Callithrix jacchus: one gene and its partners. The protein of the gene in region 6 purifies or fractionates together with the protein of the main gene of each other region. This does not show direct contact. Links are inferred from orthologs where the notes say so. Each region holds a gene or a part of one and is shown on either strand. Other genes may lie near its edges. The genes, in order: POLA1, RFC1, RFC5, ZUP1, SMARCAL1, RPA1 and TOP3A.

The links.
Region 1: the proteins of RPA1 (region 6) and POLA1 purify together in Homo sapiens (affinity purification with mass spectrometry; 3 studies listed by BioGRID and IntAct, with this or other methods). This does not show direct contact. The link is inferred for Callithrix jacchus from reciprocal best matches to the Homo sapiens genes RPA1 and POLA1.
Region 2: the proteins of RPA1 (region 6) and RFC1 purify together in Homo sapiens (affinity purification with mass spectrometry; 3 studies listed by BioGRID, with this or other methods). This does not show direct contact. The link is inferred for Callithrix jacchus from reciprocal best matches to the Homo sapiens genes RPA1 and RFC1.
Region 3: the proteins of RPA1 (region 6) and RFC5 purify together in Homo sapiens (affinity purification with mass spectrometry; 3 studies listed by BioGRID and IntAct, with this or other methods). This does not show direct contact. The link is inferred for Callithrix jacchus from reciprocal best matches to the Homo sapiens genes RPA1 and RFC5.
Region 4: the proteins of RPA1 (region 6) and ZUP1 purify together in Homo sapiens (affinity purification with western blotting; 4 studies listed by BioGRID, with this or other methods). This does not show direct contact. The link is inferred for Callithrix jacchus from reciprocal best matches to the Homo sapiens genes RPA1 and ZUP1.
Region 5: the proteins of RPA1 (region 6) and SMARCAL1 purify together in Homo sapiens (affinity purification with mass spectrometry; 8 studies listed by BioGRID and IntAct, with this or other methods). This does not show direct contact. The link is inferred for Callithrix jacchus from reciprocal best matches to the Homo sapiens genes RPA1 and SMARCAL1.
Region 7: the proteins of RPA1 (region 6) and TOP3A purify together in Homo sapiens (affinity purification with mass spectrometry; 4 studies listed by BioGRID and IntAct, with this or other methods). This does not show direct contact. The link is inferred for Callithrix jacchus from reciprocal best matches to the Homo sapiens genes RPA1 and TOP3A.

The regions. Positions count from the first base shown.
Region 1 is NC_133524.1:25,473,045-25,476,544, forward strand, and holds part of POLA1 (DNA polymerase alpha catalytic subunit), read left to right. Parts: intron 1-317; coding exon 318-493; intron 494-2,291; coding exon 2,292-2,421; intron 2,422-2,911; coding exon 2,912-3,031; intron 3,032-3,500. UniProt on the Homo sapiens protein: Catalytic subunit of the DNA polymerase alpha complex (also known as the alpha DNA polymerase-primase complex) which plays an essential role in the initiation of DNA synthesis.
Region 2 is NC_133504.1:154,486,842-154,490,341, reverse strand, and holds part of RFC1 (replication factor C subunit 1), read right to left. Parts: intron 1,185-3,500; coding exon 1,005-1,184; intron 1-1,004. UniProt on the Homo sapiens protein: Subunit of the replication factor C (RFC) complex which acts during elongation of primed DNA templates by DNA polymerases delta and epsilon, and is necessary for ATP-dependent loading of proliferating cell nuclear antigen (PCNA) onto primed DNA.
Region 3 is NC_133510.1:121,071,573-121,075,730, forward strand, and holds the start of RFC5 (replication factor C subunit 5), read left to right. Parts: upstream 1-1,358; 5' UTR 1,359-1,483; coding exon 1,484-1,548; intron 1,549-1,760; exon of another isoform or gene 1,761-1,891; intron 1,892-4,007; coding exon 4,008-4,072; intron 4,073-4,158. UniProt on the Homo sapiens protein: Subunit of the replication factor C (RFC) complex which acts during elongation of primed DNA templates by DNA polymerases delta and epsilon, and is necessary for ATP-dependent loading of proliferating cell nuclear antigen (PCNA) onto primed DNA.
Region 4 is NC_133505.1:122,970,699-122,974,198, forward strand, and holds part of ZUP1 (zinc finger-containing ubiquitin peptidase 1), read right to left. Parts: intron 2,779-3,500; coding exon 2,627-2,778; intron 833-2,626; coding exon 612-832; intron 1-611. UniProt on the Homo sapiens protein: Deubiquitinase with endodeubiquitinase activity that specifically interacts with and cleaves 'Lys-63'-linked long polyubiquitin chains. Shows only weak activity against 'Lys-11' and 'Lys-48'-linked chains.
Region 5 is NC_133507.1:138,226,522-138,230,651, forward strand, and holds the start of SMARCAL1 (SWI/SNF-related matrix-associated actin-dependent regulator of chromatin subfamily A-like protein 1), read left to right. Parts: upstream 1-1,330; 5' UTR 1,331-1,582; intron 1,583-2,702; 5' UTR 2,703-2,739; intron 2,740-3,428; 5' UTR 3,429-3,486; coding exon 3,487-4,130. UniProt on the Homo sapiens protein: ATP-dependent annealing helicase that binds selectively to fork DNA relative to ssDNA or dsDNA and catalyzes the rewinding of the stably unwound DNA. Rewinds single-stranded DNA bubbles that are stably bound by replication protein A (RPA).
Region 6 is NC_133506.1:66,377,743-66,381,242, forward strand, and holds part of RPA1 (replication protein A 70 kDa DNA-binding subunit), read right to left. Parts: intron 2,715-3,500; coding exon 2,646-2,714; intron 2,504-2,645; coding exon 2,311-2,503; intron 1,982-2,310; coding exon 1,842-1,981; intron 1,462-1,841; coding exon 1,313-1,461; intron 1-1,312. UniProt on the Homo sapiens protein: As part of the heterotrimeric replication protein A complex (RPA/RP-A), binds and stabilizes single-stranded DNA intermediates that form during DNA replication or upon DNA stress.
Region 7 is NC_133506.1:82,709,073-82,712,572, forward strand, and holds part of TOP3A (DNA topoisomerase 3-alpha), read right to left. Parts: intron 2,879-3,500; coding exon 2,735-2,878; intron 655-2,734; coding exon 532-654; intron 1-531. UniProt on the Homo sapiens protein: Releases the supercoiling and torsional tension of DNA introduced during the DNA replication and transcription by transiently cleaving and rejoining one strand of the DNA duplex.

The DNA of each region.
Region 1 (3,500 bases), on a different chromosome or scaffold from region 6:
TATGCCCCTACCCTGCTCTATTTTCCCATTTTCCATATACTTGTTACCTCCTAAAATGATATAATTTCTTGTTTATGGTATCTATTTTTTATTATACATTTCAAACGAGGCTAGGAGTCTTTTCTGTTTTGATCACTGCTGTATCCTGAGTGCCTAGAATAATGTCAGATATATAGTAAATGTTCAAAAATATTTGATTGATAAATGGGAGAATGAAAGTTTTATCATAATTTTGGGTCAGCTTTAAAATAGGTTAGAAAGAAATGTTGTCAGTGTCTGCTCTTTCATGAAATTTGCTTTTTGTTTCCATCTCATAGGGCCGGAGTGGATTTGGTGAAAGAAATGCTACCTGTGGTCGAATGATCTGTGATGTGGAAATTTCAGCAAGGGAATTGATTCGTTGTAAAAGCTACCATCTGTCCGAACTTGTTCAGCAGATTCTAAAAAAGGAAAGGGCTATAATCCCAATGGAAAATATACGAAATATGTACAGGTATGATCCTAGATTCTTCAGAATTCATCTGTCTTGAAATTAACAATAGCAGAACACCAGTACTATTCTTAGTCTGGAGAGGCATGAGCCAGTGGTGCTGTAGAGGGGAAATTGTCTTTGTCAGTGCTACCATCTCCACTGCTTTCATAATTTGAACTAGTTTAGCTCTTGAATTACTGTAATTGATCAGTTTATCTCTATCTCCCTCACCTGTGTTAACACTTTCTTAATGTTTCCTAACAGTAGTTTGGATTTAGATTTCTACTCTTAATTCGTTTATTCAGGAATTAGGGTAGATACTTTGGAAATGTAAAAACTGAGCAATCATTAAGTTATTTAGAGGTATCACTTGCTTATTTCTTCCTCCTACTCCTCTGGTCATCTCTCATTCGTTTGTTCCTGCTAGTTCTTTCTGAGTCCTTCCTTTGACTTCTTTTCTGACTTTGCTTCCTCTCTGGGTGATCATAGGGAGTCTTAGGAATTTAAATATCATGTGGATGCCTATGCCTCCCACCTGTGTATCTTCAGGTTAGACCTCCCTAAATTCTAGAATCAATGTATCTACTTACCTATTTTACTTGATACCTAATGTGAACTCCCAGCTTGTTCAAAACTGAGCTCTAATCTTCTATCCTAGGTTCTTCCTGTAGTCTTTCCTTACTAAATTAGTAAGCGTATTTTTCCGTTATCACTGGACACTTCAGAGTTTTACTTAGCCCAAAATCTCTGTGGCACCTTTGGTTCCTCTCTCTCATATCCCACAGTAGATGTATGAGGGAATCCTGTCAGTTTTATCTTCTAAATATCTCGAAGTCTGACCACTTCTTTCCGATTCTGTTGAACCCATCCTGTCCAAGCCACTATCCTTTTTCCCCTGGATTACTGGGTTTATATGCCTGTCCCCTTCCTTTTGCCCTTACCCCTTTATAATCGGTTCTCAATCCAGAACCAGAGTTATGCTAAAATCAAGTCAGATGTGTCCAGAATCTTCCAGTGACTCTTTGTTTCATTCAGAGTAAGAAGTGAAGTTCTTGTTTTTACTTATAAGCTCCATACAGTGTGTCTCTATGCCATTAACTCTGTCCTTATCTCCTGCTACTCTTTCCATTATTCTCTCTGACCCAGTCATATGGCCTCTTTCCTAGTCCTGGAACTGCCAGATTTGCATGCAGCTCAGGGCTTTTGAGTGTGCTGTCCTGTCTGCGTGGAGTGCTCTTTCCATAAGGCTTGTTCCCTTACCTCTTCCAGATGTTTATTCTCAGTGAAATCTTCCACTGTTTCCTAATAAAAATTTCGGTCTCTGCTTCCGATACTTAATATTCCCATTGCTTAACTTTTAAAGTTATGTAACATACTATATACATAATTTCTTTTTCTTTTTTATACTCTGTCTCCCCCATGAGGACATAAGCTCCAGGAGGATAGGAAGTTTTGTTTGTTTTGGTCACAGCCAACTCCTGGCACATAGTAAGCATGCAATATATACTCACTGGATGGAATGAATGAAAGGATTTAGATAGTTTTCAGGCTTGTAGTTATTATATTACTTCAGTTTTTCTTTATGGGATTGTGTGTGTGTGTGTGTGAGTGTGTGTGTGTGTGTGAGAAAGGCTTTGGGATCAATGGTATGAATGAATTCCTAGTTACATACTGACCTTAATTTGTTTCTGAAGCCAAGATGCTGTTGCTCTGAATTTACTTACACCCAAAATTCCTTGTAATAGTTTATGAAGTTATGATTATGGGCATTGTTTCTTTTAATTATTTGATTCTGTTTCATTCTTACTTTTCTGTACAGTGACTCTTCCCAACTGTTATACCTGTTGGAACACACCTGGAAAGATGCCAACTTCATTTTGCAGATCATGTGTGAGCTGAATGTTCTTCCATTAGCATTGCAGATCACTAACATCGCTGGGAACATTATGGTAAATTTAACTTAGAAAGGGGGAAAAAGCATTTCCTGTTGGATTCAGTGTTTGCTTGGGGTAGTTGTTATATGATAATGAGTCTAAATGCATGCTTATAAAATGAGTAACTTGGATTCTGAGAGCTGGACTTCTTTTGTAAAGGAAGAACTGGTTGGGAGAAGGGGAGGAATGCCAGGTGCAGTGTGTTGAAATTTGGACGAACATAAGGATCATCTCTCTAACATCTGGATGTGTCTGTTTGGTGGAATGGTCCATTTGGGAGTAAATAGCCAAGTTGTCAATATTTTAAGCTCTCTTTGTCTCCTTTAACTGTAATGCTCAATGAAAATGTTAGGAATAATTTAGTACTTTTTTTTTTTTTTTTAAAGCAGCCTGTTGTTAGGAATGGTTTTGAAGGAGGTGATGTGACTAAACTTAACTGACTCAAAGTTGCTTTTGTTAGTTGTGGTTTTGAGCTCAAATTTTAAAAAGAGATTCCATTTAATAGTCCAGGACACTGATGGGTGGACGATCCGAGCGTAACGAGTTCTTGTTGCTTCATGCATTTTATGAAAACAACTATATTGTGCCTGACAAGCAGATTTTCCGAAAGCCTCAGCAAAAACTGGTGGGTCCAAAGCTGTGTAGTATTTTGTTTCCTCTTATCCCTTACTTTTTATTACCTAGATAGCCTTTTTTTCTGTGATGACATCTGCTTTCAAAATAGCAAATCCCTTGTGTACTGTAGAAACCGTGTCAAGTTTATTCCCTTGTATTTGTGTCATTTCCTTATCCACTTTTCTCTTTGCAGACAAAATTTGTGAAACATGAAATTCTCTGAGGGAAGCATTAGACCTCTCTGATGGGTGACCATACATGGAATGTGTTTTGGCACCTTAGCCCTACCCAAAGTTAAATGCCAGTTAAACCTTTTATTTTCTTGAACCTATGAGCCTTTATTATTGTGTTGCATTTTTCTATACTAGTATGATCAAGGTCACCCACAATTAGGTTTCTGAAATAGCCTCCATCACTTTAGAACTAAAACTTAGTTTAGCTACTGTTTTATTAGCACTGATATGAATTGATGCAGAAAT
Region 2 (3,500 bases), on a different chromosome or scaffold from region 6:
ACAGGCACAATCCCTCAGAGTAGCAGGTTGGCACAGGAATTACTACTTTCATAGACTGCTTTACCTTTCCTCCCCTGGGAAGGGGCAATGCCGCTAGGGCCTAAGACCAGCTCTTCATACCTTCTCCCACATGTAATACATATAACAGACATTTCCCTCACCTTTTTCCCTGCTGATGGAACTCCAATGTGTCCTCCAAGTGATTAATTATGACTGGTCTAAGGCAACCAGAAACGTCTTGGTTCTTCCCAACCTCCCATATAGCTCTGAGTGGCCAGGTGACAGCTCTGGCCAATGAGACGTGAAATTCTGTAAGAGGTATTTCTGGGAAAACTCTTGTCAGGCCAGTCACAGCTCTTATGTATGACAGCTTGCTGCTGTTCCCCTTTCCTGCCTTGAATGAGAACTTAAATGGCTAGAGCTGCTAGAGCTGCAGCTACCTTGCAACCACAAGGCAACATTCATGAGGACAAAAGCTAACACAATAAAGATGACAGAGATAAAGGAACCACATCATTGAGCTGCTGAACTATCCCAGCAATACCTCCAGCATTCTTGTAAGGAAAGTAAGCAGCTGTTTGCTTAAGCCACAGTTAATCAGGTATTCTGTTACTTAGAGCTTAAACAGAATCCTACCTGATAGGCAGCTGATTCTTTCCCTAAGAGCACTAATTTTAAAAAAACCTAAGATGGTGTATACAGTGGCATTTCTTCGGACTGGAAGAAAAAGAAAACTGCATTTGTTTCTATCTTCAAAAATAAAAAAAGATTTAAACTAAATACACTAAGAAAAAATCAAGTAAACAAGAACTGTGCCTTCCAATGGAAAACCAAAATCCTGGCATCGAAGCCAGTAACACTTCTGTGGAGAAGAAATAATGTGGGCAAGAAATTACTTTTCTATTTCTTTCCTTCATTTAACTCTGAGTAAAGGGCAAATCACATCAAGAGCATGCCAAGGCAAGCAGGAGGTGTCATGGTGTTGAGAACACAGCAGTACCCACCTTGTCACTCTTGGACTGTCCACTATCACGACCCATGACAAGGTAGTTTGTTTTCTTGCTGACATTTCCTGTTACTTTCCCCCCATAACGTTCAATTAGAGACTTGGCCTCATCTCTTTCAATAGACTCCAGCACGCCTGTGATTACAAACGTAAGGCCTTCCAAGCAATTTTCAGCTCCCTAAAAACCAAATGTTCAAGCAGAGAGGAAATTACACAGTAGCTTTCCAAAGAAACATTTGGCATCAAAACTGCAGGAAGTTGATTTTTTTTTCACTTGACATCATAAATAACCTTGGCATGGAAAGTTTGCTGGAAATTTACAGCAAATAAGTACCACCTGAAATCTGATCCTAAGAAATTTTGATATGGCTAACATTTTATAAACCTACAAAACAAGCAGTGAAAAACATACATCCAATACTGTTAGCAAAGCTATTAAAATTACCCATTCATACTATTTTCCATTATGCCCTCTTCATATCTAAAGTACTAGTTAACTTGCATAACTGTAAATAAACAACGAAATGCAATCCATCTGTAGAAACTCTTGCTATTCAGGAAACTGCTTATTCTTGAGAACTTTCCCAACAAGAATTTAATAGAAGCAGGTAAACGTCTATCATTTTGATGTTTCTGTTAATGTTTCCAAACAATGTACTTTAAAGTCACAATCACTTCTTATCATTTTCATATATTTCTGATGCTTTTCATTACATTAGTGATCAGAAATGAGGTATAATTCCCCAATCCCTGCCCACAAGAGCTAAGTAAGATCTTAACTGTAAGTTGAAGGGAGTTTTCCCCGAACTCATGGATTGTACAAGAATGAAGCCCTGTTGGGTTAGATGGTCTGCTGACGGACTGTTGTGTGGCATATCTAAAGGCTATCGAATGCAACTTGTAATGCTTAATAAAAATCTATACTGTTTTAGGGGAAAAAACGGAAGAAAAAACGCAACTATTGCTATTATTAAAAAGGGAAAGTTTTGATTCTAAAAAGCTAAGCAAGTGCGAGCTCCTGCCCTCCTCTTGCTCATTACTCTGGTAGTAAATCTAACAACCGGCAAGTAACTTAAAGGCAAGATCATATTATCTCTGGATTGGAACGGTAACTCTCACAATGTATAATATAATATAAGAGATACTTGCCAAAGACAGCTGGATGGAAAAAGACATTAAATCTTAATTGGAACTGTGTATAGCTATAGATTTTTACAATGGCTCAATAAAATTATACCACCAAACAAAATAAATAAAAATTATACATGACATTCCAAGTTACTTATTACTCTTTTAATAGAGAATTGAGATTAACAAACTTAAATCAGGCTTGAAAAGAAGCAGCCAACCAAAATTCAAAGAAGGCACCCATGTAAATTCAATCCTGCACCATTCAGGTGAAGAATCTTTCTTAGACAAAAAGAAATAGCAATGAATGTGCTTGGAAAGAAAAGGTCTGACTAACAACATCTCAGGTCCTTTGAAGTGCTTATGGTTCATGGATGGAAATGACCTACTGTAACACTACAGGAACTAAACTACTTCTGAACAAACTCAAAACAACCTTGGAAAAGTTGCACATGCAAGCAAGCCCCTTATCCCATATCCCAAATACCTATTATCTCCCAAATTATCACCCACGATGGCGCTAATTATCTTTTTTACTTATCTTAGCACTTCTAGCCTCCCTTCCAAACTCTTCTATTCTAGAACTCGTCTAAGCTCTTACTCCAGGAGCAGCCAACTACCCAATATCCTCAACCTCTTCTCCAACATTCCCTCCACAGCCTTTCTTCACTGAAACCTGGCTGTCCCCTCAGGGCACCACTTTGCCTGAAGTCCTCTCAGGCAGAACTTGGTCTCTCATACCCATGTACAGGAGGCAAGACTGGCATCTTCCTGCAGCCTCTCGTAAAACCCATTAGCCCCTTAAGGCTGACTGTCCCGCTCCCCACCCCAGTCCCAACTATACCATCCTCTCCCTCTCTTTATTAAGGGAACTATTAATCTCCATATGTAGTTATGTATACCAAGCAAACTGAAAATTAAATTTATACATACATTGTATACATATATATCCCCTCCCCTCCAGCCTTCTCAGAAATCTCATACTACAATTGATTCTTCTTCTTTTGTAGGTAAACTTTAATCTCTCCCTTTCTAGTAGGACCTATCCCATTAGCAAAAAGCATGCTTCTCTTATGGTATCTCCTACCATAAACAAAACATCTCCCCCTAAATCCCACTTTCCATTCTAGCTAGAAGCCATCTCCCCTTGGTCACTATGCTCCAACTACATCATTTTTCTTTCAGTTCCTCAAACATACCATGCAAGAACCTTCTCCCTTCAGGAACATCACACATTCTGGCCCCTCTGCCCAGACCACCACACCATCACAACCCCTTCATACCTGCCAAATCCCTTCAAGTCTCCATGTAAATGCCACATTCCACATCCCCCACCCAGAACCAAGTTCCTCTGTTATATTATCTA
Region 3 (4,158 bases), on a different chromosome or scaffold from region 6:
AAGTTGACCTGGGAGAAAGCAGAGAGTAGGGGCACTGTCACATCACAAGCCCTAGGTGAACCCCCTCTTTGGGGTCTCCAGGCAGGGAATAGGGGGAAGCCATAACTGCCACCATATACTTGCCACTGTCCCTCTGCTGTGTTCCTAAAGCAGGTGACATTAATGTAATCCAATGCAAGGAGTACTGCTACCTCCTAATCAAAACACTGCTGACCCCAGGCCAGCCTCGAAAATCCTCCAAAGATTTTTCTCTTCCTCATCACGTTAAAAAAAAAGAGAGAGACTTCAATATCGATGGTTTGCATGCTCATTGCTGGAAAATACAGACCAGGCCAGGCACGGGGGCTCACGCCTGTAACCCCAGCACTTTGGGAGGCTGAGGCAGGTGGATCACTTGACATCTGGAGTTTAAGACCAGCCTGTCCAAAATGGCGAATCCCATCTCTACTAAAAATACAAAAATTAGCTGGGCATAGTGGCACGTGCCTGCAGTCCCAGCTACTTGGGAGGCTGAGGCAGAGAATCGCTTGAACCTTGAGACAGAGGTTGCAGTGACCCAAAATTATGCCAGTGCACTCCAGCCGAGGTGACAGAGTGAGATTCAAAAAAAAAGAAAGAAAAGGAAAGATGGACCTACAAAAAAGAAGAAAATGAAAATGATCCAGAATCTTTTCGACTCAGAAAAAAAAAAAAAAAAAACTAAAATGTTGATTACGATTCTCCTCAGTATCTCAGATCGCAGAAACCCTGTCCTCTGTGTTCATGAACCAGATCCTTCCAGCGACACAGATGAACCCAACTGGAAGTTTCTGTTTGTTTTTCTCTGGAGTAGTTTTCCGGTGGTTGGTTCTCTAAATTTTGTTGGGTGAGGGGCACGGATTCCGGAGAGAGGTAGGTTGCAGTTATGTGTGTTTGGGGTTGTTTTCATTTCCAAATATTCACCCCACCCCCAGCTTTGGGGCCGAGAGGTATTGTGAGCCTTTTTCACAAGGGCATGTATATTCAAGATCCAGCCGTGTTACTCGGGTGCTGTTTTTTACTTAGAAAAATATTTTTTTTGAGCCCCGAAAGCTTTTGTTCGTTTGAACGTTAAGTGTTTGAAGTTTGGCTATGGCAGGAATTGGCTTTGGCCGTGAGATCTTAATAGGTGCTAATGACCAGGGCTACAGGGCGCCCTGCCTCTCCCGATCCCCTGCTCTGGAAGCGCCTAGGTATCTGAGAGCTCCGAGCAGGCTGGAGAGGTGGAGCTTGGAAGCTAGCTGGCGGCTGGCCCCTCTGGTAACCTAGCAACCGGCGCCCTGGCAACACTAGGAGGCGGGACCCAGGGAGGAAGTCGGAAACCGATGGCCACTTATCGCGAGAGTTGTTTTTGCGCGCGAACTCTGAGTGCAAGGGTCTCAGGGTCAGGTCGCGGCTGGTCGCTGTGCAGGCGCTTGAGTTACGCGACGATCTCAGCGGATCTGGTCGCCTTCGTCTCCCCGCCATGGAGACCTCAGCGCTCAAGCAGCAGGAGCAACCCGCGGCGGCCAAGATCAGGAACCTGCCCTGGTAGGAAGAGGCCAAGCGGCCGCGGTGGGCAGAGGGGGCCGGGCGGCCGCGCGGGGAGGCGGTGGCCGGGGTGGGCAGGTGACCGGACCCCAGCCCGATCTTGCCCCGCCGCTCCCGGGCCTGCAGTCGGGGCCGAGCCGCAGAGGTTTCCCCCGATGCCCCCCAGGTCCCCAGACTCGTCCGTTCTGTTTAGGACTTTTGCCAGCTCTTACCCTTTCACACCCAGCTCCATTTGCCGAAGAAGAAAGCGGCTTTCGCACCTGGTGACAGCACAGGGATTCGATCCTGCGTCCTCTGACACCTGCGTTGGCCTCCATGCCAAAATGTCCTCTTCCCACTCTTCAAAACCTGCGATGCGACTATTGGTCACATTTTAAACGAGTAATAACGCTCCCTGGTCAACTTTTATTGAATGGCGTATTGCTAGATTAGCAGACACCCTGTTAGATGTTCGATCCTTACAAAGACCCTAGGAGGTAGGCACCGCTTCAAATTTTACATAGGAGGAAACTGCATCTTAGAAAGGTTAAATGACTTGCCTATGGTCCAGGGCTAGAAAATAGGCTTGGAGGTGAATCTAGGAAGTCTGAATTCAGAGCTTGTACTGTTAACCATCCTACTTCAACAGCGATGTCCTAGCAGTGCTCTAAAGACTTTGATGCAATTTGGCTTGGTTTTGAAAGCTCCAAGTTGTCATTGTCTAGTAGCTAGTTCAATTTGCTTTTATTGTGGTTTTTTAAAAAAAAATCCCATAAGGTTGACAGTTGTAACTATTTTATGTATTTATTTTTTTAGAGACAGGGTCTTGCTCTGTTGCCCAGGCTGAAGCACAGTAGTGTGATCACAGTTCAGTCTAACCTCAAACATTGGGGTTCAAGCCATTCTCCTGCCTCAGCCTCCAGAGCACTGGAACTTTTAGAGGCGAGCTACCAAGCCCAGCACGTAATCATTTTAAAGTGTACAATTCAGTGGCATTAAGTACATTCAGAATGCAGTGTACTGTTGTGGAGTCCTCCCACTATCTAGTTCCAAAATTTCATCATCCCAAATGCAAATCCTGTACCCTTGACAGTCACTCCCCATTCTCCCCTTCCTCTAGCCCCTGGCAACCACTAATCTTTCTGTCTCTATGGATTTGCCTATTCTGGACATTGATGTAAGTGGAATCCTACATGATGTGGCCTTTTGTGTCTGGTTTCTTTCACTCGGCATCAGTTTTTCAAGGTTCATGCATGTTGCTGTTTGTATCAGTACTGCATTTCTTGTTACGGCTGAATCATAGTCCGTTGTATCGACAGAAGACATTTTACCTATCCATTCTTCTGTTGAAGGCTATTTGGGTATGAGTTCAGTTTCAAATGCACTTTGAAATAGTAGGTGCCCATCAGGTTGAGATTATAGGCAAACAGCTGGAAAGATGAGATAAGAACAGTTTTCAACCTCAGCACTATTGATATTTTGGGCCAAGATACTCTGGGTGGGTCTGGGGGAGCTGTCCTGTGCACTGTGGCATGTTTAACATTCCTAGAGACTATGCACTAAGTGCCTAGGACCCTCTGCCCACGTGTGACAGCTAAATATGTTTCACTAGATGTTCCTAGGAGGACGAAATCACCCTGGTTGAGAACCACTGTCTGTGTTCAAATTTAAAGTGCTTTTTCTTCCTTTTTAAATTAGGATATGAAAGGATTCTTTCTCTCTCTTTCTTTTTTTTTTTGAGACAGGGTCTCACTCACCCTGTCAACTAGGATGGAGTGCAGTGGTGTGATCCCAGTTCACTGTAACCTCTGCCTCCCAGGTTCAAGCGATTCTCCCACCTTAGCGTGCTGAGTAGCTGGGACTACAGGGACATGCCACCTTACCTGGCTAATTTTTGTATTTTTTTTCTTATTTTTTTATTGAATGGCGTATTATTAGGTTAGCAGATGCCCTGTTAGATGTTTGATCCGTACAGAGCCCCTAGGAGGTAGCTGTAGAGACAGGGTTTTGCCATGTTGGCCAGGCTGGTCTTGAACTCCTGACCTCAAATGATCTACCTGCCTCAGACTCCCAAAGTGCTGGGATTACAGATGTGAGCCACTGTGCCTGGCCTACAAGGATTTTTTTTTTTCCTGAGATGGAGTCTTACTCTGTGGCCCAGGCTGGAGTGCAATGGCGTGATATCAGCTCACTGCAGCCTCCACCTCCTGGGTTCAAGCAATTCTCCTGCCTCAGTCTTCTGAGTGGCTGGGATTACAGGTGTGCACCACCATGCCCGGTTAATTTTTATATTTTTAGTAGAGACGGGGTTTCACCATGTTGGTCAGGCTAGTCTTGAACTCCTGACCTCATGATCCACCCGCCTCAGCCTCCCAGAGTGTTGAGATTACAGGCGAGGCATCATGCCCAGCCAAGGATTCTTTTGCATATAAAATGTTCTTGCATTTATATGTCATAATACCTGCTAAATTGTATTTCAGGGTTGAGAAATACCGGCCACAGACCCTGAATGATCTCATTTCTCATCAGGACATTCTGAGTACCAGTAAGTATCCATGTGTCCGTTGCTCTTGTCCTGGTTGAAGGATCTGTATAAATTTCTTGGTGGTGATGTCTCTCCTAAGTAATAAC
Region 4 (3,500 bases), on a different chromosome or scaffold from region 6:
CTTACTATACGTGTTAACATTATTCATCGCTTACCTGACATCAAAAATTAAATATTATAAAATTGAACATTTTTATGAAACTCTAAGTATAGAAAGTCATTAAAGTATCATTTCAAATAAAAATATGTTCATTCCAGAAATTAAAAAAATATAAAATCAAATGGTGTTTCCAACTTAATGAAACAGAATAAGGTGCTAAGGAATACAAAGTGGGCTAGGCACAGTGGTTCATGTCTGTAATCCCAACACTACGGGAGGCTGAGGGGAGCAAATTGCTTGAGCCTAGGAGTTCGATACCAGCCTGGGAACCATGGCAAAACCCTGTCTCTACAAAAAATACAAAAATCAGCCGGGTGTGGTGGCATGCGCCTGTAGTCCCAGCTACCCAGGAGGATCACTTGAGCCTAGGAGGTCAAGGCTACAGTGAGTCAAGATTGCATGCCACTGCACTCAGGCTTGGTCAACAGAGTGAGACCCCCGTCTCCAAAAAAAAAAAAAAAAAAAAAAAAGAAAGAAAGAATAAGAAAAAAGTGATAACACTGATTTTAAACTAAAAGTTTTAAACTTTTAAGTTCGTGTCATTCAGAGTTCACATATATTTAGATACTTACAACTTTCTCTACTGGAGAAAGAGCACCCTCTACTGCTACTATCTGGTATTGCTTATGTTTTAAATTTCCCATAGATTTCCGAAGTTGCTTGAGACTGCTAGCCTCTACGTCTTGCTTTAATAATTTCTGCATTTCTCGAGAAGGACATCCAGGATCAAGTATTAGTAAACATAATGTTCGGTTTCTTTTCTCTTCAATTCCGATAACAGTTCGACTGTGACCTGCCAAAAGATTTTTTTTTAAGTTATATATATGTCATATATATTTACAGCTATACAAATAGTATCTATATATATACTGTGAGCATATAATACAGTCAGACTCTCTGACACATATGTATCTGAGTTCTCCTAAGACATAAGAGTTTAGTGCTACTTCACTTTTCTTCATTTAACTTTAGTTTTCTAAAGGCTTCATTACAAAAAACTCTGCTTTTATTCTGCCATAGGTTTTACTTTTCCTTTCCCAATCCCTTGATCTCTCTTATTCAGATTATCTCAAACGAAAGAACACAAACTGTTCTAGAACAAAACTCTCATGATTCCAAAAGGTAAACAAAAATAAACCTATAAATACTAGAATATCAGTGGGGGGTGCTTAATCTCTTATAATTTGTATTCCTAAACAATGAAATTCTTAACATTATTCTGCTTATTCCTGTCAATTCAAACCATCCATTCATAATTTACCAAGAATCTATGTGCCAGGTACTACTCCATGTAGGAAGAAATATAACAGCAAACAAAACAGACAAATGTGCCTGTCTTCTTGGAACTTACATCCTAATAGAAGAGATACTCTATAAACAAGGTACATAAGTGAAGATAATGACAGTAATGGGATGTTGGGATGAGTTGTACTTTTTTTGAGACAGCCTCACTCTGCTGCCTAGGCTGGAGTGCAGTGGCAGAATCATGGCTCACTATGGCCCCCAACTTCAGGGCTCAAGTGACCTTCCCACCTCAGCCCCCTGAATATCTGGGACTACAGGCGTGTGCCACCACACCTGGCTAATTTTCTTGTTTCTGTAGAGGCAGATTCCCACTATGTCACTCAGGCTGGTCTCAAGCTCCTGGGCTTAAGCAATCCTGCTTCAGCCTCTGAAAGTGCTAGGATTACAGGCATGAGCCACCATGCCTGGCCTTGAGGTCCACTTTTAAATAAGGTAAGGTCAGGGCAGGCCTCACTTAAGTGACACGTAGGTAAAGACCCAAGAAGGCAAGAAATGAACAATGAAGGACAAGTGAACCAAACACAGAAAATAACAAGTGCAAAAGGTCCTGAAGATGTCAGGAATATCAATCTTAATTACTCAAGAAAGTATTGTAGAAATATCAATCTTAATTACTTAAGAAAGTATTGTACTGTCAAAGTAGCTCTGAAAATCAGATTAATGTCATATTACTCCTTGGTATTATCAGACCAGCCTGACCAACACAGTGAAATCCTGTTTCGACTAAAAATACAAAAGTTAGCTGGGTGTGATGGCATGCCCCTATAGTCCCAGCTACTTAGGAGCCAGGAGAATCGCTTGAACCTGGAAGGTGGAGGTTGCATGGAGCCAAGATTGTGCCACTGCACTCCAGCCTGAGCAACAGAATGAGATTCTGTCACACACACAAAAAAACGTTAACCTGTCCAAAAGCAACAATTTGGTTTTGTTTGTTTGTTTGTCTGTTTTTGAGATTGAGTCTAGCTCTGTTCCAGGCTGGAGTACAGTGGCACAGTCTTGGCTCACTCCAACTTCCTCCTCCAGGGTTCAAGCGATTCTCCTGCCTTGCATCCTGAGTAGCTGGGACTACAGGCATATACCAGCATGCCCAGCTAATTTTTGTATTTTTAGAAGAGATGGGGTTTCACCATGTAGGTCAGGATGGTCTTGATCTCTTGACCTCATGATCCACCTGCTTTGGCTCCCCAAAGTGCTGGGATAACAGGTGTGAGCCACCACGCCTGGCCAACAATTTGTTATCTTATAAATAACATTGTCAGGCATGAGTTATATTAATACCAACCTTGATGCTGAAGATAGATGGGAGGTTTAGATGTACACACTACCTTTGAACTCACTTCCCCCTCTGAAGAATAATAGTTTAATATCCATTCAAATAAGCAAGGGTGTGTACCCAAAGGACCAGTTGACTTGTGAAAATCAACAATATGACACCTATTAAAAATTGACAGAATATATAATTAAAGGCCATTTAAAAATATTTTCAATAGTTATCAAATATAACAAATTATTAGGTTAGAACCAACTTTTTCTAGCCATTACTTCCCTGTAAAGGAAGAAAGAAAAATAAATATAAATTTTTACTGCTTATTTAAAAAAATTATCATTTTTTGTGGGGGTTAACTATTTAACAATTCTCCCTATTTAACCATTTCACTATTCTTCTAACTAGTTAACTATTTAAATAATTTCATAATAAGTCTGCTGACTAACCTTAAGGTTACAAACATTTTCTGATATATAAAATCTCTATGAATAGTAAATAGTGACCATACCTGATTTTTTAAAAGTCATCTACATATAATCTGGGACATAGCTTTTATTCTAGTTTCTAACCCTGATGATCAGTTAGAAGCTGATTTCTGATTTGAATTCCTCAACAGCCATTTGTATATATCAAATAAATCTTAAATACTTTTCCTGTCAGCATCTCAAATCTCTATAACAGAAAATACCTGTAAAGATCATAGAAAAATGTGTGTGTACCCACATCTATACATCTATCTCCTATTTGACACCAGACCACCGTGGTATTTTTCCTTCAAGAAGGAGTCACCCTTCAATAAACAATTTTTTAACCAGAAACACTGTTTATACTACTCAGCTACTGTTTTTAAAAGGTCAGGTACAACTAAAAGCATTTCATAGCTTTATCA
Region 5 (4,130 bases), on a different chromosome or scaffold from region 6:
TATTTTAGAAAATTCAAACATTCTGAAAAATAGAGATTAAAAAGTTGAAAAGTGTATTCCATGCTACTCTGCTCCTTAACAGTTTGGTGAGTTTTCAAGTTTCCTTCCCAGATCTTTATGTGTTTACATATATTTAGAGGTAAGGATTTCTTTTTTAAAAAAATGAATCAAACTACACACATTGCAGTGCTTCCTTTTTCTTAGCATGTCTTGTCCATTTTTCCAAATCCTTTAGTAGACATCTGTTTGTTTTTTAAATAGGCCATGTTTGAAAATAGAATTATAGCAACATTCATATGCACACTGATGATAGAGCAATATTATATTTATCACTAATATGGAACAGTGGAATTGACCCTGGAGAGAAAAGGGTGTTGATTTGTTGGTGCTCAGGAGTAAAGTGACTTTTTTTTTTTTTTGAGACGGAGTTTCATTCTTGTTGCCCAGGCTGGAATGCAGTGGTACGATCTCGGCTCACGGCAACCTCCGCCTTCCAGTTTTTCAAGCGATTCTCCTGCCTCAGCCTCCCGAGTAGCTGGGATTACAGGCGCCCACCACCATGCTCGGCTAATTTTTGTATTTTTAGTATAGATGGGGTTTCATCATGTTGGCCATGGCTAGTCTCGAACTCCTAACCTCGTGATCCGCCCACCTCGGCCTCCCAAAGTGCTGGGATTACAGGTATAAACCACCATGCCCTTTCTAAAGTGACTCTTAAAATCTCGTGACTAACCTTCTCTCAAGAGGTGGGTCTATGGAATCAGACTCACAAGCTAGCTTAATAAAGCATTGAGAAACATTACCAAATGGCTGTCTCAGTTTCCCCCTTGTAAAATGGGGACAAGAATGTGTTCCATAGGTTGTAGTGCGGTTAAATGACGTAACTCATATTTATGCTAAACGCAATGACTGATGACTGCAATGATGACGACGATGGCAGACGGGCGCAGCGACTGAGGCTTAAATTGCAAGGATAGCAATACCAGGAATGAATGCCTCGGGGGAATACTTTTTATCAAGAGCCTCCAAGTTAGTCTGGCTGTCTGAGATGCCCTCTGGAGACAGGAGACCACAGGTCTGGAAACCTCAATGTCCCAGGCTTTCAGGACCTGGCGTTTGGCTAAACCTCTGGAGAACTACAATTTCCAGGGTGCACCACTTTCGCCCCGCACTTGACGTTGCAGCTCCCGTTTCTCGCCAGGCTCCCGGCATGAACTACAAAACCCAGAAGACCCTGCAGCCCCGCTGGCGTTCTCGTCTCATCACTCTCACTTTTGGACGCGAAACTGTGGCCGCATTGCCTGCTGGGAAGTGTAGTTCACCGGTGACCGAGCCCTTCAGGCCAGGCCGCTACAATAAGGCGGGCGAACTCGTAGCTCTTGAATACCCGTGGCCTAACCGTCCACCCGGAAGACTAGCCCGACTCGGAAGGCTCTGGAGTCGCGCCTGGGCTCAGAGCCGGGTGCGAATGCGGCTCGCGTTCTAGGCCTCCTTGGGTGAGAAAGTGGTAGACTGGCAGGAAGGCGGCGGAGGCGGACGAGACCAATGCCAGCCTGGAGAAGGAAGTGGGCCAACGGGAAGGGTGAATCCAAGTGGATATCGTAGGGGTGGGAGTGGGGTGTGGCACCCGCTTACCTTGAGGCTGGGTGAGGCGCGCCCCGAAATTCTGGGGAGCAGAGGTCCCTGCTTAGAGAGGAAGAGGGACGTCCATGTGGCGGGATGGCTTTATGGTTTGGGGATGATCAGTGGGTCTTATGGCCTCGTCTCCCTGGTTAGTGGAGATAGCTCACCAGGCCTGGGATCTGGAGTGTCTGGAGGTGCAGGGAACTGATTGGAAACTTAGGCAGGAGTGCGTTACCCAGAGAAACTGAGGGCTTCCGCTGTGCACCTGCAAAACGTTTCCCTAACCGCTTCACCCCTTCCTAACTGCTAACATTTGGAGAAGGTGGAAGTTCTCTGAGGATAGATGCTTCTTGGTCGGGGAGGAGGAGTGGGGTGGGGGGTTGGGTTCTGCCAAAGGGAGCCCCAGCAGGGAAGGAAACCCTTGAACCCTATAGTTGCCCAGAGGCCTAGGCAGTGCTACTGAAGTACTCCTACATCATCATTCTAAGCATTACACAGCGTTACAGTAGATGCAGGCTATTTAATCTGAACCAAGCCAGAGAAATTGGTGTCCCGCCCCCTGCTTACAAACTGTTGTAAAAATGTCTCAGTTAGTAGGAAAATAAATGTTATGGGTAAATTCATGGGAAAAAAATCAGGGTGCAAAATGGAATGTTTACAGTGATCCTATTTTATAATAAATTCTTATGTCTCCTAAATATGTGCCATGTATTACGTGGTTATGGATAGAAAAAAAAATCGGAACTGTATACTCTAAATTATTAATTTCAACCGTGGTTATTGATGGCTGGTGAGAGTATGGATTAATTTTATTCTTTTTGTTTGCTCGTTCACATCTTTATATAGCATCTTAATTTGTACAGTGAACACATATTTCTTTTTTCCACCCCTCTTTTTCCCCGGAGAGTCAGTCAGTTGCTCCGTGTGTTGTGTTTTGGAAATCAGGTGTCAAGGCCAGCTGCTCTGGCTTGCACTGAGCCACAGGCTGACTGACTGCCAGGAAGGATAAAAGGCGTGAATGTGAGGGGAGAATTTCGTGTGCAGTCCATGGGAGGCTAATGCTTTTTTCCTTCTTCTAGGTTGGAAAGAGGCTATTTTAGCAAGTATCACGCCATGGTAAGTGGTTGGTCTATTTCAGTCTAATCTATTATGCTTTCTGGTTAAAAATGTCACCCTTCTCATTATCTGATGGATTTAAGTGCACTAAGGAACTTTCTTGGGTTCTGATAACTCACCTTGTCTGGGGCATGGGAAGGAGAGAAATATTGCAGCTGAAATGCCTTTTTAGCTTTGGGTTTGCTTTTTCTGTTTGTTTTTGAGATGGAGTTTCACTGTTGTTGCCCAGGCTGGAGTTCAGTGGCACAATCTTGGCTTACTGCAATCTCTGCCTCCCAGGTTCAAGCAATTCTCCTGCTTCAGCCTCTCAAGTACCTGGGATTACAGATGTGCACCGCCACGCCTGGCTAATTTTGTATTTTTAGTAGAGATGGGGTTTCTCCATGTTGACCAGACTGGTCTCAAACTCCTGACCGCAAGTGATTTGCCTGCCTTGGCTTCCCAAAGTGCTGGGATTACAGGCATGAGCCACCATGCCCGGCCTGCTTTTTGCTTTTTGATCAGGATCTTTATTTTAGCATATGCTGCCTACTATCTCTGTGTATGTGCAATTATAAAATTAACTTTAATATATCCTTTAGTTGTGCTCATTATGTAGTTTCTGGGACAAAAGCTTGTTAAAATCATGGTTGGAGCATGGCAGCTAATAAATGTAATGTTCATTTCAGTCTTCTTATTTTCTTCCACAGCTTTTGCCAACTTTCCAATTAAAGATTGACTTTCCTGCTTAACTATTTCTCCTGGAAAATGTCCTTGCCTCTTACAGAGGAGCAGAGGAAAAGGATTGAAGAGAATCGACAAAAGGCTCTGGCCCGTAGAGCTGAGAAGTTATTGGCAGAACAGCATCAGAAGACTAGCTCGGGCACCACCATTGCTGGCAACCCATCCCAGGCCAAACAAGGCCCATCCCAAAATTTCCCAAGGGAGTTTTGTAAGCCAGTGAGCCATGGTGTCATTTTCAAGCAACAGAATCCCAGTAGCTCATCTAATTATGACCAAAAACCTCATAATTCCCACAGTTTTCATCTTAGCATACCAGAGCAGGTGAAGGGAATATGGAAAAAACCAGAAGAAATGACCACAGCCTGCCCAGGCCACAGCCCACCACATCAAGTGGCTCTCACTGGAATCTCCCCTCCTTTGGCAAAAAGTCCTCCAGAGGTCTCTAAACAACAGCCCTTGGGTTACAATTTAGGTCAAGGTCATGCTCAGGCTTCGATCAGGTCCATACCCTTTGCTAACCCAACTCATGAGCCTTTGGCCAAAGCAAAGAGTTCACAAGAGACACCAGCTTGTTCTGGACAGCCTCCCAGGGATGTTAAGTTAGAGGCCAACAGAGCAAAAGCCTCCACCTCGTGGCAGAACACTTCTTACATCCATTCTAGCTCGGG
Region 6 (3,500 bases):
ACCCTATGCTGCAGACAGCCGCCTTCTCCTGTCAGGTAAGCGTCTAAATCCCCCACAGGGCACAGCAAAGGCCGTACGTCTGTTTCACCACCAGCAGCTACACCAGTTTATGGTTTCAAAGACTCCAAGGAACATGCACTCATCAGGAGTCAACAGAGCATGGAGACAGGCCACCCCCATCAAAATCCTGCATGGTCACAGCCAAGATCTAAACACCTCTAATCCCCGTCCAGGTAAAGTATGCACACTGAGCAGCCCTTTGATCAGTGCCAGGTTATTTGATTCTGGGGACAGCCGTGCTCCTTATGTTGACTGGGATCATGATTATTGACAAGTAAAATATGAAGACCTTCATGTGGGAATGCAGTTAACCTGGGGCCGAGTTCCACAGCCCAAAAGGAAATCAAGCAGTAAGACCAAAGCAATCTGCGGCTATTTCTGGTCAGACTGGGCCCTGCTTTCTACAATGCCAGCTATCACAACAGCTCAGTAGAGATGTATGGACTGTGCTCACGAGGGTGGCTTACGTGACATGAACATTCCACAACATGCTTCATGAAACTGGTCAAACACCAGTGCCACTGGTTCACATGACTCAAAGCAGAGGAGGAGTATGTAAAATGAACTCATTCTGTAGCTGCTTAAATCCTAAGACACAGCTGGAAACCGACACGCTAGCCCCGTGACTAGAGCTACAGGAGTTATTTCAGCTGGGCTAGTGAAAGCGCCTGCCTGACCACATCAATCCTTGCATACTGTGTTTCAGTTTCAAGTACTCTTTTAAGACCGAGTTTTAATGTCCTAAAAGGCTAGAGACAGTGAGGAGATTTTAACAGCCTCTTCTCATCCCCTGAGTGCTATGGGAATAACAATCTAATCCTAACAAAAAGCCTGTTGTTCTCACCACACTTTATCAGAGTCCAGTGAATACACACTGGAAGATGAGATCAGCACCAAACACTCGACAGAAAAAGAAAGCACATGCTCCCCCCACGCCACAGAGGCCTGGAGTGTGAACCCTGGAAAGAAAGACGCCTCAGCACCTGCCACGCGCTCGTTGGCAGGACCGAGGTTAGCAGGCAGCACCACATTCTAATCGCCTCCTGGGACTCTCTGGTTCGTGATGTGATTCCAGGTTTGTCAGCTCAAGGGTTTTAAAGCCATCTTCTCAGAAGGTAAAACGCCTCCAAGAAACGAATGCACCACTCACTTCCCTAACAAAGACTTCTGCTTGGCAGAGGCTCACACATGGTAACCAGCTCTCCTCAAACCCAGTCTCAAACAGCCCTTTGTTTCACCTCACGAAACCTACCATCCACGAAGCTTATAGGCCTCTGGGATGTCAGGATTCACGATGATGGTGCTGGAAGACAACACAGAGAGGCTCCGTCCACCGAAATCTGAGACTCTGGCTCCTTTGATAGCCAGCACAGGCTGTCTGGAACCATCAAATTTATCAGCCTGTAAAACAAACACCAGACATACACACGTGTCACTCGCAGGAAGAACACAGAAGGTTTTTATAGAAAACAAGGCAAACAGTCAATAGTGAGTGAATGTAATCAATGTACATAGAATCTACACAAGACAGACTTCACACATAACGATCTTCTCAAAGACACATCAAACTAGCACTACTTTCCCAGAGTTAGGGGGAGGAGCATTTGCCTCCGTAAAGCTTGAATCACAGCAAATCTCACAGAAGATAAAGGATTTCAAATATTTGCCAGACAGCACGGCCCTTCCCATCTACACGGCCAAAGCCCCCAACTCATAGGACAAGACCACCTGCTCCCCCAGGAGCTCCTCCCGTGCGCGCTGACAGCTCCGCCCTCACTTACATCTTCCCCCCACAGTGTAGCAGTCACCACCTTCCCCGACGTGTCCATCAAGTAGATATTCCTCTTAGCAACCTCTCTGTTGTTAGACCTCACTGTGATTTTCGTGGCATCTTCATAGCTCTTGCAGATCCCAATTATGTCTGAAACACACCCACAACGTGTTAGCAGGAGACCGTCAGGGCTCCAGCTGAAGGGGATGGGAGGGTGAATGGCAGGCACTGGGGTCTGACACCGCCCCGGACACTGCACAGGAGCACCATCCCCCACGCTGCACAGGAACACCACTCCGGACACTACACAGAAGCACTGCCCTGGACACTGCACAGGAGCATCGCCCCCCACGCTGCACAGGAGCACCGACTCGGACACTGCACAGGAATACCACTCCCCACGCTGCACAGGAATACCGCCCTGGACACTGCACAGAATACCACTCATCACTGCTGTTCCTTCCCATACACCAACTTACCGACAAGTGAGTCTTTAGACTTGCTCTCTAGGTTATCAATCCCTGTGAAATCAAACTGAACGGTAGGCAAGTGATGATCATCTTCACAGGGCATGACGGAAGTCTCATTATTGAAGGTCATCTCATAGTCATTTTTAACAGCTGTGAATTGTTTGTTAGCAATCTTCAGGGTGCCCTTTGAGAAATAATACACCTGCAAAGGAGGCCAAGCCACAGAACTTCAGACTGTCATCAAATTGGACAAGAAACCCTGGTCTGCCACCACACAACCCTCCACTGGACCACAGTCCTCTCATCCTCAGTGAGTGTCGGCCCCAAAGCCGACACTACTATACCTTGTTCACTTCAATGAGGGGAAAGAACTTGTCCACTTGCTCATTGAAAGCCGTAGCTCTGATTTCAGCCTGTGGAAGCACGTGAGAGCAGTTAGGACTGTGGGATTCAACTTCAAGCCTGACCAGTGAAACATAGGCCACCTCAGCATCAAAATGGCATCTTCAGAGCAGTGAGACACAAAGGGGACCCAGAGAGGGCTCCAGACATCCCAGAAACCCGCATTTTATAGTCACACATTCAAGTCATTAGCCTGCTGAAAAAAGAATTTCAATTGCTGGTCCCATAGTCATGCTGCATTAACCTCAAGTGAGACACTGAGAACTGAACGAAAGGGTAGTGTCGAGTGGAGTATTCTGACGATAAAAACCAAACCACGCTGACCACTGAGTGACACAACTGGAGCCCACAGCAGGCTGCTGCTGGGATGACTCCCGCTTCCCCCAGTGCCTTCTCAGTGACAATCACTCCATGCTCGGGAGCCACTGCCACAAATGTCACAGTAAGTCATGTTTTCAAGTTGCCTGTGATCTGATTTTCACTTTTGCTTTTCTTTCAGCCAAAATGCTATAGGTGGACAAGAAACTTAAATGATTGAAACTGTAGCCAACCTTTAGAGCAGTAATGTGTTTAAAAAAAAGGTTCTAATATTGATTCTGCCACCACACAGTCAAACATTTTGGGTGTTATACCATCCTTCCTCCCACCCCCAAAAAATCTATTTTTTTCTCTGCCTTTGGGAGTTTGAACAAACAGGAAATATGTGGCAGTTTGATTTAGACATCATTATATTATTATTTCTATTTTTTTTGAGATGGAGTCTTGCTCTGTTGCCCAGGCTGGAGTGCAGTCATGCA
Region 7 (3,500 bases), about 16 Mb from region 6:
TGTCATTCATGTCATTATTATTATTTTGCTTTGGAAAACAGGTATTTTATCACCCTAAAAACCATGTTATTTACAGTAGTATGCAATGCATTTACTAGAAATAGATTAATATTTTAAAAGATGTTTTTACTTTAATTTCACATGTGGTATATACTGATAAACCACCCAGAACAAAAGCTCTCTTGGCTCCTCAGTGATCCTTCAGAGTGTTACGGGTCCAGTGACCAAGAGGTTTGAGAACCACTGTACTGCACTAGGGCTGTGGGCTTTCTGGAGGAACTTAAATAATATATTTCTTTGCCCATGGCCCACTCCAAACTGGGTCATACCCGCCAAAGCAGTGACAGCATGGAACACAACAGAACCGGACCAGGCCTGCTGACCTGACTGCTGCAGAACACAGCTACACCCCTGCAGAGCCTGAGTGTAATCCCTTACACTCCCCTCTGGGTTCTGGCAGGAGCAAGGGAAAAATGGGCACCGTGGTGTGCACACTCCAGAGGAGGTGCCTGACTCAGGCGCCCAGCTCACCTGTACACAGGGTGTGGCTGACAAACTGGACACACACTGCCATCCCTGCTGGCCTCCAGCACCGAGTCAGGAAACCATATGGCTGAGCGACACTCTGGGAAACCCGTGCAGCTGAGGTAGAGCCTGGGGACAAGGTGCCATGTCAGGTGGTAGCAGTGCAGGAGGCACTCTCAGGCTCTCAGCCGTTGGCCATCGGCCGAGACAGCCTTTCCTCAGATGACTGAGGACAACATTCCCTTTTCTGGAGGACAGTTAACTGGAGATACAAGCACTGATATTTAATTGATTGAGAAAAATGAGCCTTCTCACAACCCGAAAGCACAAAGCAGCTATTGCTGACCCTGCTTTCTACTTAGAAAACCAACAACCAACCAAGGTGACGCCAGGGGCCCTGTGCTGTGCACTCACACATTCTTGCCTTTCTGCCTCGTGCCAAGTCTGTGCAGTGTCAGGGGCCCCCTCAGTTTGCATGTGAGTAAGTGGTGGCTTGGTGTGGGCTGGAAACCTGCCCAGAGATGTGCATGCATGGGGGTATGGGAGCTAGAAATGGAAACCCATCTGTTTGTGACAGAGCCTCACCTGCAACATCTACACCCCACCCACTGCCCATCCACCCCATCCCTGTCTCTCCTGGCCCATGTTTTTCAACACCTTGCAGCCATGAAACATTAGGGTTTGACTAGCCAATGTGCATTTGATTTACCAATTCCTTTGAGTATGCCTGGGTACACTACAAAGAAAAAAAACCCCCAAACTTCAATCATTTAAATAAGAAATTTACAATCTCAGAAATGGAAATTATCAGATAAACCCTGGAGTGGCAAATCCCATAAAATAATCTGACCTTCTGGAGTAACTCAAAGAAGCATTACAAGAGAATAACAGAATAACAAAATAACAAAAGAATAACAAAGAAATAATAGTAATTCTCCAATACAGTGCTAAAACAAAAGTAAGTATTCTCTCTCCTTATATTCCAGTGAGTACTAATCCAAAAACCTGCTGGTGGCAAGGAAAACCCATCAACAGCATTTATTAAGTGCTTAAATACATGCCCAGGTATTGGGCTAGGCCTAGAGTGGGTCTGGCTTCTGTCTGTGAGTGACAAGAGCCCTGACACCTGCTTCCAGGTCTGGTCCAAAGACCGCTTGTTTCTGAGAGCTGGTGGCTTTCTCTTCACTGGGGCCAGCTGGGTTACTGATGGCTGGAGGTTAGGAGGAGTGGAGAAACCTTTCTCATTTAGCAGCAAGGAGCACAGCAGCCCCAGGTGGGCCAGGCAGGATGGAGAAAGGCAGTCAAAACCTGGTTTCAAACTATGCCTTTGCTGCCCACTGTGAAACGGGCTGCTTGACTTCAAGCAGGAACCTCTACCCTCTAAGCTGCATAGAAATCCCTGCCTTGCAGGGTGATTACAAGAATGGGATGAGGTTAAAAAAAAAAAAAAAAAAAAAAGAGAATGGGATGAGATGTTTACAGAGCACCACCAGGCATCATGCCAGTAAGGAATGGCAGCTGATGAATGATGGCTGCCACCCCTCCAGCACACCTTTCCCCGTGAACTTCCTCAGTGGCCAGCCACCGGCTTGAACAACCTGATCTGAGGCTAAATTTCCCATTCAGGTCAACTATACTTAAAGCAAAAGGGAGTTAAGATTTTCAGGCCCAATTCAGAACTTTTCTTAGAGAAGAAAAGTAGAATCTGCTGAGTAACTACAACACGTCAGGCAATGCGGTATACAGTCCTGACCATTTTCACCAAATCCTTATCCTTAACACAGCCTTGTGAGTACTGACCTTATTTTATGAAAAAAGAAATTGGGGCTCAGAGCAGGTTAGGAACTTGCTTCAGGCCACACCACTTATATGTGGCAGAAGTGGCATTTGAACCCAGACCCACCTAGATCTGAAGCCCATGCTCCTCCATGTGTTACACATTAGGTATATGATGTCCTATCTACAGGGGACAAAAAAAACCCCATAATCACTCAGTTCCCCACCTGCTCTAAATTCCAACAATGCTTTACACCTCAAAGGCCTGATCCCACCCAGGTATCCTTCTAGGCCAACACCTTGCCTGCAGGTTGGCAACCACAGGCCTGTCCTGAAAGATTCCATGTAAGTGAGATGGCAGGGCCTTTTAGAGCTGTGGCTGACACCGCAGGTGCTGGAGAGCAGAGGTGAAGGCAGAAGGCAGAGCACTGACCCGCCGTTCTTCTTGGTTTTGAGGACCATGTCCTTGTTGCACTGTGGGCACTTCCTGATAGGCTCTGGCATGGCTGGGTAGATGTCTTCTTGCTGGGCCACCTCTGTCCCATTCCCAAAGTACTGGGCCAAGGCCTCGTCCAATCTGAAGAGAAGGCAAAGGTAGACACCCATCAGCCTGCAATTGCTGCAAAGGCACCTACAACACTCTTATGTACACACAACAGGCGTGACCGTGGGAACCAGCTGGTCAGTGAGCTGCAGGCCTCCTGCAGAGAACAGACGGCAGGCAGAGAAGACTGAGCTCATCATGGGCCCTGGTGCCTAACCAACTCCGAGGAGGAGAGTCCAGATACAGGCAGATGCTTCTGCCTTGTCACCAGCCCCACATTAAAAAATAAAATTGGGCTGGGTGCGGTGGCTCATGCCTGTACTCCCAGCACTTTGGGAGGCTGAGGCCAGCAGATCACCTGAGGTTGGAAGTTGGAGACAAGCCTGACCAAAATGGAGAAACCCCATCTCTACTAAAAATACAAAATTTAGCCGGGCATGGTGGGGAATGCCTGTTCCCAGCTACTTGGGAGGCTGTGGCAGAATTGCTTGAACCTGGGAGGCAGAGGTTGAGATGAGCCAAGATCATGCCATTGTGCTCTAGCCTGGGCAACAAGAGCGAAACTCCATCTCAAAAAAGAAAAATAAAACTGCACAGGGTCCATGCACAAACTCTAGGCATATCTGTCTGCATTAAGTTTAAACTAGCTTGGCGG